Lytechinus pictus: one gene and its partner. The main gene of each other region encodes a partner of the protein of the gene in region 2 in a complex. Links are inferred from orthologs where the notes say so. Each region holds a gene or a part of one and is shown on either strand. Other genes may lie near its edges.

Evidence for each region.
Region 1: U4/U6 small nuclear ribonucleoprotein Prp31-like (region 2) and small nuclear ribonucleoprotein Sm D2 share a complex: the UniProt entries of both Homo sapiens proteins name them as parts of the U4/U6-U5 tri-snRNP complex. The link is inferred for Lytechinus pictus from reciprocal best matches to the Homo sapiens genes PRPF31 and SNRPD2.

The regions. Positions count from the first base shown.
Region 1 is NC_087251.1:24,556,723-24,564,570, forward strand, and holds the start of small nuclear ribonucleoprotein Sm D2, read right to left. Parts: upstream 3,340-7,848; 5' UTR 3,181-3,339; intron 42-3,180; exon of another isoform or gene 1-41. UniProt on the Homo sapiens protein: Plays a role in pre-mRNA splicing as a core component of the spliceosomal U1, U2, U4 and U5 small nuclear ribonucleoproteins (snRNPs), the building blocks of the spliceosome.
Region 2 is NC_087254.1:21,095,952-21,104,406, reverse strand, and holds the start of U4/U6 small nuclear ribonucleoprotein Prp31-like, read right to left. Parts: upstream 3,197-8,455; 5' UTR 3,123-3,196; intron 2,786-3,122; exon of another isoform or gene 2,724-2,785; intron 1-2,723. UniProt on the Homo sapiens protein: Involved in pre-mRNA splicing as component of the spliceosome. Required for the assembly of the U4/U5/U6 tri-snRNP complex, one of the building blocks of the spliceosome.

The DNA.
Region 1 (7,848 bases), on a different chromosome or scaffold from region 2:
GAACTAGAGATACGTGGAATGCGTGTCCCTATTCCCAACGTACACAAAGCCGTGCGGCAACGAAGAGCATCGGGCTTCACGCTCGACTGAGCGCGCCGCCATTTTGCTAGGTCAATACTGGCTGGTCGGCAAATGCTGCGTGTATATAGGCAGATGGGAGAAAGGAACGCAAAGAAAGTGTTCCTTGCTTTGTTACATCATGAACTATATGTTATCGAATACTTTCATAACTGAAAATGTTGATTTAGTCACATTTTTGTATTAAAGGGGAGTAAACATATACAGTCATGAAATCATAAAAAACTCGACCTTTTTCACGCGCACGCTGTGACAAGGAAAGGCCCCACAACAAATATGCTTTCTGAGTAGGCCTAGCTGGTTGCATAAAAAAAAATCTTTTAACGATTAGAGATCATGTCCCTTTCTCTAGCTTTTTTTTTAAACCTCCCTTCTCATTCAACTATTCATCTCATCTCATTTTCTCTGATTTTCCTCTTCTGTCCATCTCTCTTATCCTCTCCATCCCCTTCTATTTCTTCCATTTCTACTTTCATGCCCCTCTCTCTCTTATTTCTCTCCTTTATATCATCTCGATCTCCCTCTTTATTATTTTCCTTTCTCTTTGGCTTCTTTCTCTCTCATCTCCTCGTCTTTCTCATCTCTCTCTCTTACATTCCCTCTCTCTCTTTCCCCATAATTATATCTTTCTTTTATTTCCCCATCTCCCTTATATCGAGCCCTCTTTTATCTCCCTCTCGTCTCGCCTTTCTCTCCTCACCTCTTTCTCATTCCTCGATTTCCCCTCTCTCTCCCTCTCTCTCTCTCCTTCTCTTTGATCTTCCTCTTCTTTCCATCTCTTCTCGTTGATCGTCTGTTTCTTTTTCTCTCTCTCCATCTTTACAATTTTTCCTTCAACTTTCTCTATATGAATTTTGAGTAAATATTCCCTTCCCTCCCTCTCATACTCTTCAATCACACATTCAGGGTGAAAAATTGAATAGAAGTTTAAGGGCAAGAAGGTTGTTACTTTTAATGAGCCTTCAAAGTTGGACCTTCGTGTGCTCAGCAAGGAAATATCTACTATAAAGTACCGTGTATGTAAAAATGGGCACAATAGAATTTGAATTCTTATGAAATTTAATTTGGAAGAGCATGGATGTTGCACGACATGTGCTTACATCAATACACTTTTACATAAAGGAATGGGTGATGGATAAACAAAACCAAGTCAACTCTAACAAGTTTACTATTAGAGCACAAATCAGAAAGTCATAGCAATGGTAATTCCATTTAAAAAGTTGTTGCACTAAATTTCGCTTATTTTCACATACCAGTTATATGCATATCCTGGTGAGTATGAAATATTCCACAAGTCAAAAATTGTACAAAAAGACCACTACCTCTTGTCAAATGACCAGACGTCCCGTATTTCCCGGGATCGTCCCGTATTTTGCTCCTTAATTTGTCCCGGCGTCCCGACAAACCCTTCCCGGGACATATCTGTCCCGTATTTTTAGAATATTGAACAAAATATAGTTGATAAATTAAAAAGTGACGAATTTTCATCACATAACCAAACAGAATGACGAAGCAGAGACAACAATAAATCGATAACTAAAACTTTTGCAAGTTCTGTGGGTGATTTTTATCCTAACCAAATACATTGCAAACGAGCTGGCTTCCTGCCTGTCACTCACACTAGTACGAGGTTAGTATTATTGCCTGCATGTGTGTGAAACAGGCTCTATGCATGTAGGATCGGAGCATAATGATGCAAACAATCTCACATGATAAACAGTTTTTCCACCAAAATAATCACAAAATCGGCGGAAAATTTTTATGATCGTAATTCTCAGATTACTGATTAAATAGGATCGGAGGAACAAGTTTTTTTTAGTTTTCATAACGGGATCTACATGCAGTTGTTTTAGCTTTTTGAGTCTTGTTGTGTATATAGGATGCCGGCGCTGTTTCCTCTCATTTGTAAGTTGACAATGTTTCACTTTGAAATTTTATTCATTTCTAAACCACTTAGTTTTCCAAAATTAAAAAAAAACACCAAATATCATTATCATTTCTGTTAGATGACTGGATTGCTTTTGTTTGCTTGAAGTTTGAACTTTTTCCTCTTTCCTTTTTATCCTTCATCCTTCTATCCTTGTTTTTTTTTTGTTCCATCTACATCTTTTAATATTTCATACCTTTCTTTCCTGATCCTTTCTGTGTTTTAATTTTCTTTCTTTCCTTCTTCCTCCGTATCTGCCATTTTTATTTCCGTCATTCTTTCTTTCCTTATACTTTTATTTACTCCCTTCCTCACCTTTTTCTTTTCGTTTTTTCTCTCCTTCCATTATTTTTTTTATTTTCTCCTCCCTTCAATCTTTCCTCCCTCTCTTTCATTCTTTCTTTCATTCTCTATTTTTTCCTTCTTCTTCTTTCCCCTTATTCTTTCTTTCTTTCCCTCCCCCTTCCTTCATTTTCCCTTCCCGTTTTCTTCTTTCAAAGAAAAAAAAAACATTTTTCTTTCCTTTATTCTTTGTTTCCTCCTCCTTTTTCTTATTTTGTCTTTCACACATCTTCCCTTTCTTTCTTTTTATTTCTTTCTATATTGGGTGAATTCAAAGAATGACGGAAACCTTTTTTTTTCTCTTTTATTCTTTCTTTCATCGTCCTTTTGATTATTCTAACTTTCCGCTTTTATTTTCCCCTTCATTTGTTCTTTCTTCTTTCTCATTTCTTTTCTTTCGTCTTTTTTTTCTCTCCTTCATTCTTTCGTTATCCCTCCCTTCCAATTCTTTTTATTTTTTTCACAAGTATAACATCGTGTAGCCTTCTTTGATGAGGCGATTGTCCCGTATTTCATTTTGTGAAATCTGGTCACCCTGAATTAGACCCTTTTTTTTAACTACATGAATTACCAGGTCCCAGTACATTGTGCATATAGAAATATGTTTGTACATGATTGGCTTAATGACATTAAAATACACTTTGCCACACTATTAATTTTATATTTATAGAGAAAACATATTGCATCTTGCACATATTTTCAATTGCCTTCTACGGCGCGCTCTCGAACAATTGACCTAGCAAAATGGCGGCGGTCACGTGACTTATCGATTTCGCCGGCGCTGTTTTGCTTGGGTGAACACGACTTCCACGTATTTTTAGTTCAGTGACTGCCTAGCATGCAGCACGGCAGAGCGCTGCGCTGACTGCACTGCTGCTCAAAGTGTGTCTCCGCAAAGTGTCTGAGTGCATGCAGAATTGAAGGAAGCAGCAAAATATTATGTGCCGCGTCGAGATTAGTCTGCAGGCACAGACCTTCGGTTTTCACACAGCGCATATGCAGAGTCTGAAGTAGTGAGACTAGATTCACTCAATTAGCGGTGGCCTATTCTACCAAATCTGATTTGACACAGACAAAACAATTGGAGTCTTCAATCTAGTCATGGTATAAGTTGTCAAATTTTAGTCTGTGCTTGTAGACTATGTTGAAATTTCTATTTTGGAGATTGGTATGATTCAATATACAAAAATACATGTAGATCTATAATTCCCACATCGTAGATAAAGCCAAACAATCGTGATCGAATTGATACAAATCGGATATCAGATAGTAATTATTTTTATTATTTTTATTTTTTTCACAGAATAGTTAAAGGTCAAGTCCATCCCAAAAAAATGATGATTTGAATAAATAGAGAAAAATCCAACGAGCAAAACGCTAAAAATTTCATCAGAATCGGATGTCAAATAAGAAAGTTATGACATTTTAAAGTTTCGCTTATTTTTCACAAAACAATTATATGCACATCTCAGTGACATGCAAATGAGACAGTCGATGAGGTCCATCACTCACTTTTTCTTTTGTTTTTTATTGTTTGAATTATACAATATTTCATTTTTTACAGGTTTGACATTAAGGACCAACTTGACTGAACCATATAGTATTAAAACAATGCTAATTCCACGTGTTCAGGGAGGAATTAATCTTTGTTTAACTTGACAATGAGGAGAAAATTAGAATATTTCATATTTCATATAATGAAATACAAAAGAAATAGTGAGTGGATGACGTCATCAGTCTCCTCATTTGCATACCGACCAGGATGTACATATAACTGTTTTGTGAAATTAAGCAAAACTTAAAACTGTCATAACTTTCTTATTTTACATCCGATTTTGATGAACTTTTCAGTGTTATGCTGGTTGGATTTTTCTCTATTTATTCAAATCAACTAATGGTTGGGGTGGACTTGTCCTTTAATTCATTCATGGACCTATCCACGGAGGATTATTCTATTGTCACTGGGGGTGCTGAGCATTGTCACAGCACCCCCAGTAACAATAGATAATCCTCCGTAGATATATAGGTTCTCTCATCAGGCTCTCTCATCACTCAAAAACAGGTCCGACATCATCATCAAGCCTGCAGACAAAGGATCAGCCGTCGTTGTTATGGACCGCCAGCAGTACATCGATGAAGCCATGAAACATCTCAATAATCGATCTCACTATGCACTCCTCGATTCTGACCCTACTTGTAATTTCTCCCTACAGATCAAATCGACACTGAATGACATGAAAGAACACGAGCATCTCTCTGAGAAGGCCCACAAATTTCTCTCCCCTACTAATGCTAAACCTGCCCGCTTCTATCTCCTCCCGAAGATCCACAAACCTGCCAACCCCGGTCGACCCATCCTCTCAGGAAATGGTTCCTCAACAGAGAACATCTCCCTTTTTGTTGATTACCACATTAAGCCCCTTAATTGTCTCACGTGCACCCTCTTACATCCACGACACTCCAGACTTTCTCAGGAAACTAAATGACATCAAGGACCCGAGACTGCGATCATCGGCACTTTCGATGTTTCTTCACTGTACACCAGCATTAATTCCCCACGACGAAGGTATCCAAGCATCATGTGAAGCTAGCCTTGGCCGCCAGTGGCCATTCCAGTCCCCCCATATCCGATATCAAATCTCTGATGTCTCATGTACTAACAAAAAACAGCTTCACATTCATGGGCAAGCACTATACCTACAGATATTCGGTACAGCAATGGGCATCCGGATGGCTCCTTCATTCGCCTGTCTCTTCATGACGAAGCTGGAACAGCAGATGTTAGATTCAGCCCCCTGTCGCCCATGGATTTGGTGGCGTTACATAGACGACATTTTCTTCATCTGGACCAGAGTGAAGACAGCCTCCATACATTCATTGACCACATCAATTCCTTCCACAGGACCATCAAATTCACTTCTGATTTCTCCCAACAGGAAACCCACTTCCTTGATGTTACAGTCCAGAAAAAGTATAATGGTATCACCACTACCCTATACTCTAAACCCACAGATACCCACCAGTACCTCCACTCATCCAGCTGCCACCCCCGTCACTGCAAAACCGGCATCGCTTACAGTCAAGCCCTCAGACTTCGCCGTATCTGCTCCGAGGACCCTGATTTTTCCTTCCATGCCAGGAATTTGCAGAAACATCTCTGTGCCAGGGGCCACGGGCCAGGGCAGCTAGTCCAACTGGCAATTAACAAAGTTCGTTCTCTCCCCAGATCTGAAGTTCTCAAACCAAAAAGTGACAAGGAGACCACCGACAGAATACCGCTTGTGACCACCTTCCATCCCAATCTACCCCCTCTCCGCAAAATCCTGTTTGATAACCACCACATTTTACCAAGGAGTTGGAAGCTCCTTGATTTTACACACTTCTGATCGTCTCCAACAGGCCGTTCCCGATACTCCCCTTCTAGCATACCGACGCCCACCGAATCTCAGGGACCTCATTGTTCGTGCTGAAGTGCCCTCCCTCACTAACCATTCTTCTCCCATACAACATGGCACCTTCAAATGCACCAGCAACAGGTGCATCATATGTGAAATACACCTTCACGAGGGCGATACTTTCACCAGCAACTCTACCAGCCTGTCTCACCAAATCAAGGGCAACATCACATGCACTACCACTAATGTTGTATATCTCATCACTTGCAGAGTTTGTAGGGTACAATACATAGGGGAAACCAAGACCACACTCAAGAAACGATTCTACGGGCACAGATCCACCGTCAACACAGCAAAGCTGGACACTCCAGTTGGCCGCCATTTTAACCTCCCCAACCACTCCATCACTGACATGATGCTACAGGGCATCGAATCTTTAGGTACCCGTCCTGACTCAGTCCGTACTAGCAGGGAGAAGCTCTGGATGAGACGACTTCGCACCACCCAACCTCATGGCCTGAACATCCAAGAGGGGAACGACTGATTTTTCTTTCCTATCCACTTTCAATTTTTATATACATATAGTTTTTCCCCTCAGCTCTTTTGAATAGTTACATTATAGTTTCTTACTCTACTTTCCTCCCATATCTCATACAAGCTTAGCTCCAATTTTTCCTTCCTTATTCAGGCGATATAATAATTATTATATATATATATATATATATATATATATTTGTTTTTTCTCCACTCACCTCTTTTAGATTTACCACATTTGCTTATTTACATGTATACTATGGTTTCTTCATAATACACCCCCTCTCTTCTATATTTGCTTTTACTTTTTTTAGGCAATTTGCTTCCTCTTTTTCACATATACAGGGTGTTTTTTTTTTTTTTTTTCCCCTACTATATAGACTTATAGTCTTATGTTTTTTTCCCGTCACACCTAGCGGATTACAATATCAGTTACACCATATGTGTATTTATATATTTTTTCATATACATTTCTTTTTTGGATATATTTATATACATATCACTTATAGATACATATTTACACTTACCTTCTTCTCTTAGTTTGTTTAATGCTTTATCATATATACTTATATGTCTTTTGCACATTATCAGTTGTTCCCCATTCTTTTTCTTCCCCCCCCCCCACTCTTATGCACCAGTTTATTAAGCCTTTCTTTGTAACCTGTTTGACCCACCTCTCACTATTTCTCTTGTTTTTCATCCCATTATCTCTGTTTTGTTCCAGATCCTGTTTGATGTTGCCTGCCTCATTATTTTAATCCCTCTTGGCTTGAGGTCTTTTACTGGCCTTACTTACACATATGGCCCCTGTTACATCTGAAAGTTTCCTACCCGAGACCCGACCGAGTCCACTTGCAACCTTGACTGGATTATTGGTGGATTAGCTTCGCGAACGGACCGAGTCCGAAATGTGGTCTGTTTACATCACAGCGTTCATTCCCTCCCCTATCGGTACGGTTTCGAGCGGTATCCGATTGCTGACACCAAAGGGCACTCTCGATCTAGGCTCTGAATAATTTGCGCGCGCTAATTGAAGTTGTTTACATTTCGTTATTCTGGAAGCATGCTGATGATCCCAGCAGTCGTTGAAGATATGATCGATTTGAAAAGAATACGTTTAAAGTGCTTCCTTCTTTCCACTAAAATCAAAGACTTTATCAATCACAATTCACATGTCAAAAGCCGCAAAACATTCGAAGAACGACGGGGCTGGGGAGGGGATAGCGCGCGCTATGACGTAATTTGACAGCTGGCGAACGGACCGAGATAGGTTTGAAAGCTTGTGTGCGTTTACATCTACGAATCGGTGGACCGGGGCCGGCCCGATACCTACCCGAGACTACCTCTTGATGTGGTCTCGGGTAGGTTCGCTAAAAGGTGGCCCGAGGTAGGTTTGGGATGTTTACATCTGATTTCTTTCCGACCCGAGGTAGGCCCCGGGCCGGCCCGAGGTAGGGAATCTCTCAGATGTAACAGGGGTCTAACTTCCCTTTGTGTCTGCCTACTCCTCCCTTTCTTTCATCCCCTTCACTAACCTGATTGGTCTTCTCTATACTCACTAATGCCCCTTTT
Region 2 (8,455 bases):
ATGGTACCCCATGTCTGCGCACTCATTCACTTTGCACACGATTCGGGGATTTTGATGAGAAAGGCTGCATTTTGAGGCCGTCACATGAAATGCCCAAATTTCATTATTTTTCCACCATTTTGAGTCAGATTTTTTTATGAATACCTGTCTATGTATTGCATGTGTAAAGTCTGTGTTCGTTGCGTATCTTCTTTTACTAGAATCGCGCAAATACGCGTGTGCGCAGACAAGGGAAGGGGGACTGCGCAGACTTGGGGGAACTTGCCATATATAGGTATGTGTGAATACGGGCGCATCGCGAACGCTGGTTTTGGCTGCACGGTTTTCGCGCGGGTTTTGCTGCAAGTGGCATCGCCTCTGTCTGGGCGGCTCATCGAAAATGGGGTTTCATGCGCATGCGCACATAGTTGATGCAATCTCGTGCCTCCATACAGACAGTTGAAGACTTGCTCTTTCTGTACATGTAAGTTTCAATGTGGATACTCGCCTGTGAAGTGTGGATATCGGAGCTTGAAAGTTCATCAAATTTTTGGATGCGCAAATGATCGAAATGTTTTAATGGTAAGTAGAACTGCAATCCAATTATGTATCTTGACCTTTTAAAAATGTATTCAAATTGAAAAAAAAACTAATATCAAAAGATTCTTTCGTGGAGCAGTCCAGATATAAGCGGCGCGAGCTACCCTTGTCACAGCCGGTCTCTCGGCAGTCGAGCTGCCCGATGCGGTGGGCTCCCGACGGTCTTTCGGCAGTCGAGCTACCGGTACCCGATGCGGAGGGCTTGGTGACGGGAGTGGTCGATAGTGAGTCGTTCATGCTGGATTGAACTGGATCTAAATTGTTCACTTGATAATATTGTGCCTTTTTCTGAAAATGTCTGTCATTATACCGTAGATTGTTATTCTGATATTGATTTAAATATATACATTTTGTCACAAAAACATTCTTTCCTCCTAAGGTTATAGAATCATATTTTATCATTTGGAAACTGGATTCTTTTGGAAGTGGAATATTAATGTTAATCTATAGTGTTTCTTTTTTTTCTTTTGTAGAAAAAAAAATATTTTGAAACTTTTCAATCATGTTTCATTATTTTGAGACTGGATTTGCTTTTGAAAGGAGAATATCATAAATGTTGACTTTTTAATTAAAATGCAAATATTATGTTTATTTTTTAGTTTCTTTTTTTTAAATATATTTTTTTAAGTTTCTTTTTTAAATTATTGTATTGTTTATTTTTTTCATTTTTTTTTCATATTTCATTATTTGGAGACTGGATTTGCTTTTGAAAGGAGAATATCTTAAATGTTGATTTTTTTTTATTAAAATGCACGAACTAGATGTTGTTTATTTTATGTTGTAATTTTTTTCACTCTTGTAAGAAAATACATGAAAACTCAGAGGAAAGAATATTTCATTTCCAGATGGGTCTGAGTCCTGTATTTATGTTTATTATTAATTGTACTATTTATTTTTTTGTTCACTTTTCTTTTTTTAGGGGTGCAGGTGGGGGTTGTATTTTGAATTGGAAAATGGGGATGGGATTGGTACAAGTTTTTGTTTCTCTTGTTTTTAGTGCTTGTTTGGAGCTTTGATGTCTGTTTTGTTGTTGTTGTTTAAAGCTTTGTTATATATTTTTCATGGTTGTTTTTTGCTTTGTTTTGAAAGAAATAGACCACTCTTTTCCTTTTCTTTTGGATTCGACTAATAATTTGAATTTATTTTTCTTTAAAAAGAGAGCTCAAACAGGGCTTTTGTAATACAATGTATGTATACAAATCTAAGAAATTGACAACTGATACAATATATTAAAACTTCATTTTCGTCCTTCTTGATACTTGAAATAAATTGCATACAATTCTACATACATATTTTACACTCAGCTGCTCATTCCTTCTAAAAATGTAATCACATGTCCATTGTCTCTCAAATCAAAAGCTACATATTATAACAAATTGTTGAAACAATAGAATACATAAGGAATTGGTGAAACAATAAAATACATCAGAAAAAAGCACACATATTTTTATTTGGTCATACAAAGTACAAAATAATTTTTTTTCATATGTAAAAAAGGACCCCCGTACAAACACATATACAAAATTACAATACTAAGTTGAAAAAGAGCTTGTAATTTATATCAGAAAACAAAGAAATACATTAGAAATTACAAAAACAATACTTTAGACAAATTCATTAGGAAATTATCTACATGATGCTGTTTTGATGCCAACTAAATTATATGAATTATCTATCATAATCACCTTCATTTGGCAAAAAAAAGAGGCAAGTAATTGTGATTTTCTGTTATTTGCATAATTAATTAGAATTAATTAGAAGAAATTATTTTACACATAATAAGAAAAATTACTAGATGAATTGATACACATCAATTAAGCATTCTCTCACCTTTCCATTGATACCTAAATTACTTCATAGGGCTCAAAAACAAAGAAGTTAGAGCCTGTTGAAGACTTGGGTTCAAAATGGTCACAAAAATGACAAAATGGTCACAAAAATCGATTCTGTACTCCATTGACTTTACATTAAGACAATGACCACAAATTTGGATGAATATGTGCGACTTAAACTGGAATAACTTTATAATTTCTTTATGAAAACTAAAGTTCTTGGTATCATTTTAAAGGTCTTTTTAAGAGCTTTCAAGTGATACCAAATTTATTCATATTTGATGATTTTCATTTTTTTTGTCACATACCTACCATATATGCGAATTGAATCGGAGTCGCCGATCGAAACATGGGAATCTGATCTGCTCAATTTTCTGCAAATAATGAGACGAAAACTAGGTAAAAGTCGAGTCTTGACTCCTGGGCTCCGACGTCGACCCGCTTCGCGAGCCGGAGCTCCCTGGCCCTGCCCCTGGGTTAGTTCCGATGCGATGCCGATGGAGCTGGCTGCACTGCACTCTGCACTTACACTCGCCACTCGGCTGATCGCACACGTTACCAATATGATAGCGCAATAAAAATTACATTAAATTTAACTACGCGATTTCCGCACAATTAACCTACGAATATCACCACTCATTATAAAAAAATAAGAATTGAGACTTCAAACTCAGTTACAACTAATACAAGCATATTTTTAATTTATTTTACCTGCCAGAGCACTGTATCTGCGATTTCTTGGTGTAAACAAAGAACGTTGAGGGCCGGCGCGGTAACAAATCTTTTTCCTTACGAAAAGAATAGGTCCATGGTTAAATTCAGAAAAAAATAACAAATAAATATTAATGAAGTTTTGAGGAAAAGCCATCATAGATTAAGAAAGTTATAATTATAATTTATAGTTTTTGTTTTGTGACGTAAAAAATGTCCCATAGTTTATGTCATGTAATATAAAATGTATAAAGTTCTTTTTTTTGTGGGAAGTTCGTGCATGATGACTAAAAAAAAATTTTCAGGAGCGGATGTGAAATTGGCCGTTTATGGTAAATTATTTTCAAATTATTTGAGAAAATGACATTTCCTTGAATTTTTAAAATACACGATATATGGGAAGCTGCTCGCATATGACGTGACAAATAAAAAAAATATTAAAATCTTTGATGGATTTTCCTTAAACCTTCACCAATATTTTGTAAAGTTCAACTTCAGATTTGCTTGGCATTGCAGTGTATGGTAGGGCTATAAAAAGAATTAGGCCTATGTCCATGGGCGGAAATCCCAGGGGGGACAGGGGGGGGCGTGTCCCCCCTACTCAATTGATTTATTTTATTTAAACACGGTAAAAAGCCCTCGATCAGCCTATGGCTGTTTACAAAACATGAACAGAGTGGCCAATTTTTAGGTCTAAATCTCTTTTTTTTTCTGCTCGCGCTTCGCGCTCGCATCAATTGTTGAATTATATAGCTACCCTGTTCACGATTACAAAAATTGATTAAAATTTTCAATTTTTTTATTGTTGAAATATGTAACGCCTTCATGGCTAAGTGCAAGCAGTCCTTAAAAGACAAGTCCACCCCAACAAAAAGCTGATTTGAATAGAAAGTGAAAAATCAAACAAGCATAACACTGAAAATTTCATCAAAATCGGATGAAAAATAAGAAAGTTATATTATTTTTTAAAGTTTCGCTTAAATTCTAAAAACAGTTATATGCACATCCTGTTCGGTATGCAAATGAAGGGACCGATGACATCACCCACTCACTATTTCTTTTTTTTTTGTTATATGAAATATGAAATATTTTGATTTTATTGTCATTGTCATGTGCTTCATTCCTCCCTAAACACGTGGAATTCCATTATTTTAACATTTTGTGGTTCAAGCAAGGGGGTCCTAATTGTCAAATTCGTAAAAATTGAAATATTGTTTAATTCAAACAATATATAAAAAACAAAAGAAATAGTGAGTGAGAGTGACATCACTGACTCTCTCATTTGCATATCATTGAGTTGAGCATAGAACTGTTTTGTGAAAAATAAGCGAAACTTTAAAATGTCTTTATAACTTTCTTATTTTACATCCGATTTTGATGAAGTTTTCAGTGTTATTCATGTGTGATTTTTCTCTATTTATTTAAATAAACTTTTTTTTGGGGTGGACTTGACCTTTAACAGATACCTTTTCAACAGGTACCATTTCAAAACGTATATAAAAATTTTCTGCTGGCGCTTTGCGCTCGCATTATTAATACTCATCCTTTTCATGATTTACAAAACATGAATAGAGCGTCTCGTTCAGTAAATATTATAGGACTAAATTTCGAAACTTTCCGCTCGCGCTTCGCGCTCGCATCAATTGTCTACTTATATACCTATTCTGCTTGAGTTACAAAAAGCGCTTACAATTTTCATTCTTTAGGTGAAAATGTAAAAAAAAAATCAGCTCGCGCTCGCATTATTTGATTGTTAAATGCTAACTGCACGCAGTCTTTAACAGGTATCTTTTCCATCAGTTCATTTCTGCTCGCGCTTTGCGTTCGTAGTAATTTTTTCAGGATAACAAACATTGCCCAGAATGTTCAAATTTTAGGAAAAAATACATAAAATTTCCAACAAATTAGCTCGTGCTTCGCGCTCCCATCATATAAATAAGGATTATGATATTATACATGAATTTATAAGAATAAAGCTAAGAAGTGACTAATGGGGACTATACCCCTTCAAAGAAACAAAACACAAATCATCTTCGAGCTGCCGATCGGGGAAAATACTCGCTGAAACAAATTTCCGCCCCCCCCCCCTCCTATTGGCGAAGGCTGGATCCGCCCCTGTGTCCCCCCTACCTTTTGGGAGAGATTTCCGCCCCTGCCTATGTCCGTGTTATTAAAATATTACAATGCGTCCCATTTATCAATTATAATTTTAACGCTGCATTATCTCCGCAAACAAAAGTATAAATATAGTTTATGTGATAACTGCCTACAGGATTAAAACCAAAACGGAAGTGGCTCAAGATCCTAATCCTAATTTGAGAAGGGGCATGCACAGTAAAAACGCTGTTTAAGATTTTATACAACGCTGTTTACTATTATGAACCTTACAGTATTTATTTAACCGTTTAAACAATCATGTTTAGATATTGAAAATTAAACTTTGTCGCTTAAAGGGATGGTCCGGGCTGAAAATATTTATATCTTAAGACATAGAGTAGAATTCACTGAGCAAAATGCCGAAAATTTCATCAAAATCGGATAACAAATGATACAGTTATTGAAGTTTAAAGTTTAGCAATATTTTGTGAAAACAGTCGTTATGAATATTCATTAGGTGTGCTGATGATGTCACATCTCCACTTTCCGTTTTCTTATGTTATTACATAAAATCATATTTTTCATTATTTCATACTTGTGTGAATAATATGTCTCCCTTATAATGAAATAAGTTGCATCAATAAATATCTAATGCACTAAATCAGTTGTCAATCCAATTTTTCTAGTTCTTTGAGAGAAAATTTGAATAAACCTATTTTCATATAATAAAATACAAAAGAACAAGTGGGGATGTGACATCATCAGCCCACTAATGAATATTCATGACCACTGTTTTCACAAAATATTGCTAAACTTTAAAATTAACTTACTTTGTTATTTGTTATCCGATTTTGATGAAATTTTCGGCATTTTGCTCAGTGAATTTTATTCTAATTATTAAGCTATAAATACTTTCAGCCCGGACCATCCCTTTAAGATTTAAACACTTGTTTAAACTGTTTAAACAATTACTGTAAGGTTCATATAGTAAACAGCGTTGTATAATTTTTTTTTACTATGTGGACTTCGATAACACCGGGGGGGGGGGGGGGGGGAGCGGCACTGTGTCCTCATTGAAAACCCTTTTACCCAAGAAAACGGTCCCGCTGACAAACGTGTTCGGTACCCCTTTCATCTCAAAGAAAGGCCCGTTTCGTGTATTAAAGGTCTAATCCGAGGGGTCCAACCTAGAAAAACTGATGATTTGAATAAATAGAAAAAAAATCAAACAAGCACAACAATACAAATTTCATTAAAATCGGATGTAAAATAAGAAAGCTATGGCATTTTAAAGTTTTGCTTATTTTTCACTATATAAACTTTATATGCACAACTCAGTGATATGCAAATTAGTCGATTATTGATGTCTCTCGCACTATGTTTGAATTGTACAATATTTCAATTTTTACCGATGTGGACAATATAGGGACCAACTTGATTGAACCATAAGTGAATATTGGTAATTTTACATGTTCAGGGAGGAACAAAACATTGTTTCACATGATAATGAGGAGAAAATTAGAACTATTTAATATTTTACATAATAAAATACACAAGAAATAGTCAGTGGGTGACGTCATCATCAGTCACCTCATTTGCATATATACTGACCATGCAGGGGCGGATCCAGCCTTTGCCAATAGGGGGGGGCCCGGAATTTTTTTCAGCCATATTTTCCCCGATCGGCCGCTCGAAGATGATTTTTGGTTTCTTTGAAGGTGTAATCCTAATAGTCACTTTTTGGCTCTATTCTTATTAATCAACATAAATATATCATAATCCTTATTTATATAATGCGAGTGCGAAGCGAGAGCTAAATTTTTTGGAAATCTTATGTATTTTTTCCTAAAATTTGAACATTCTGGGCAATGTTTGTTATCCTGAAAAAGATGTGTATGCAGCTAAATAATTACCACGAACGCGAAGCGCGAGCAGAAATGAACTGATGGAAAAGGTACCTGTTAAAGATTGCATGCAGTTAGCCATGAAGACGTTACATATTTCAAAAAAATCAAATATTGCGAGCGCGAAGCGCGAGCTAAAATTTTTCGACATTTTTACCCGAAGAATGGAAATTCTAAGCACTTTTTTTTAACTTAAACAGAAAAGGTATATAACTAAACAATTAATGCGAGCGCGAAGCGCGAGCGGAAAATTTCGAGATTTAGACCTACTGAACGAGACATGTTTTGTAAATCATGAAAAGGATGAGTAATTAGGGATCTTCCTTACATTAATAATGCGAGCGCAAAGCGCGAGCAGAAAATTTTCATATGCGTTTTGAACTGATCGAAAAGGTACCTGTTATAGGACTGCACTTAGCCATGAAGACGTTACATATTTCAACAATCAAATCATGAGAGCGCGGAGCGCGAGCTGAAAAAAATTGACATTTCTACATAAGGAATGGAAAATTTTAATAAATTTTTACAATCGTGAACAAGATAGCAATATAACTAAACAATTGATGCGAGCGCGAAGCGCGAGCTGGAAAAAACCAAGATTTAGACCTCAAAACGGGACATTCATGTTTCATGTTTTGTAAATCATGAAAAGAATGAGTAATAGGGAATTTTTATACATTAATAATGAGAGCACAAGGCGCGAGCAAAAAACTTTTGATATTGTGATCTGAAACTGGATAATGAAAATGTCCTTATAGGACATGTCATCATATGAAAATGAAGACTGTCTTCCTATTCCTCTTGCTAAGCTCGAGATGAAACAAAAGGGACAATTCAATTATTGAATTAATATATTATTCATTAATGCCTAATGAGAGCGCAAAATCTGATGATATGATGGCCTGAAAACTGGACATTTCAATCACTTTTGTAATTACAACTAGGATGCATCAGTAAATATATTATTAACTAGATTTAGATTTTTTAGATTTAGATTTATTGATTTATTTCATTTCTTTTCTTTCCATTTTTCACATACAAGTCAAAAATACATAAATACAAATACATAAATACAATTACAAAAATGAACAAAAGTAACGACCTTACATTTGCTAAAATTGGGTAATGTAAATTATACGAACAAAATACGATACTTATTTCATCATTTCATAAAACGTAACATTCTTAAAAGTATGAGTATTCTTGTGTATATTAAAAAAAGAAAGGGGTGAAATGAAAAGAGAGACCAGCTGAGAAGCTTGGCTTGTTGGACGCTGATCTCTCCAATACGTAAATAATGTAAATAACGTAATATAAAGTGAACTTGGTAAA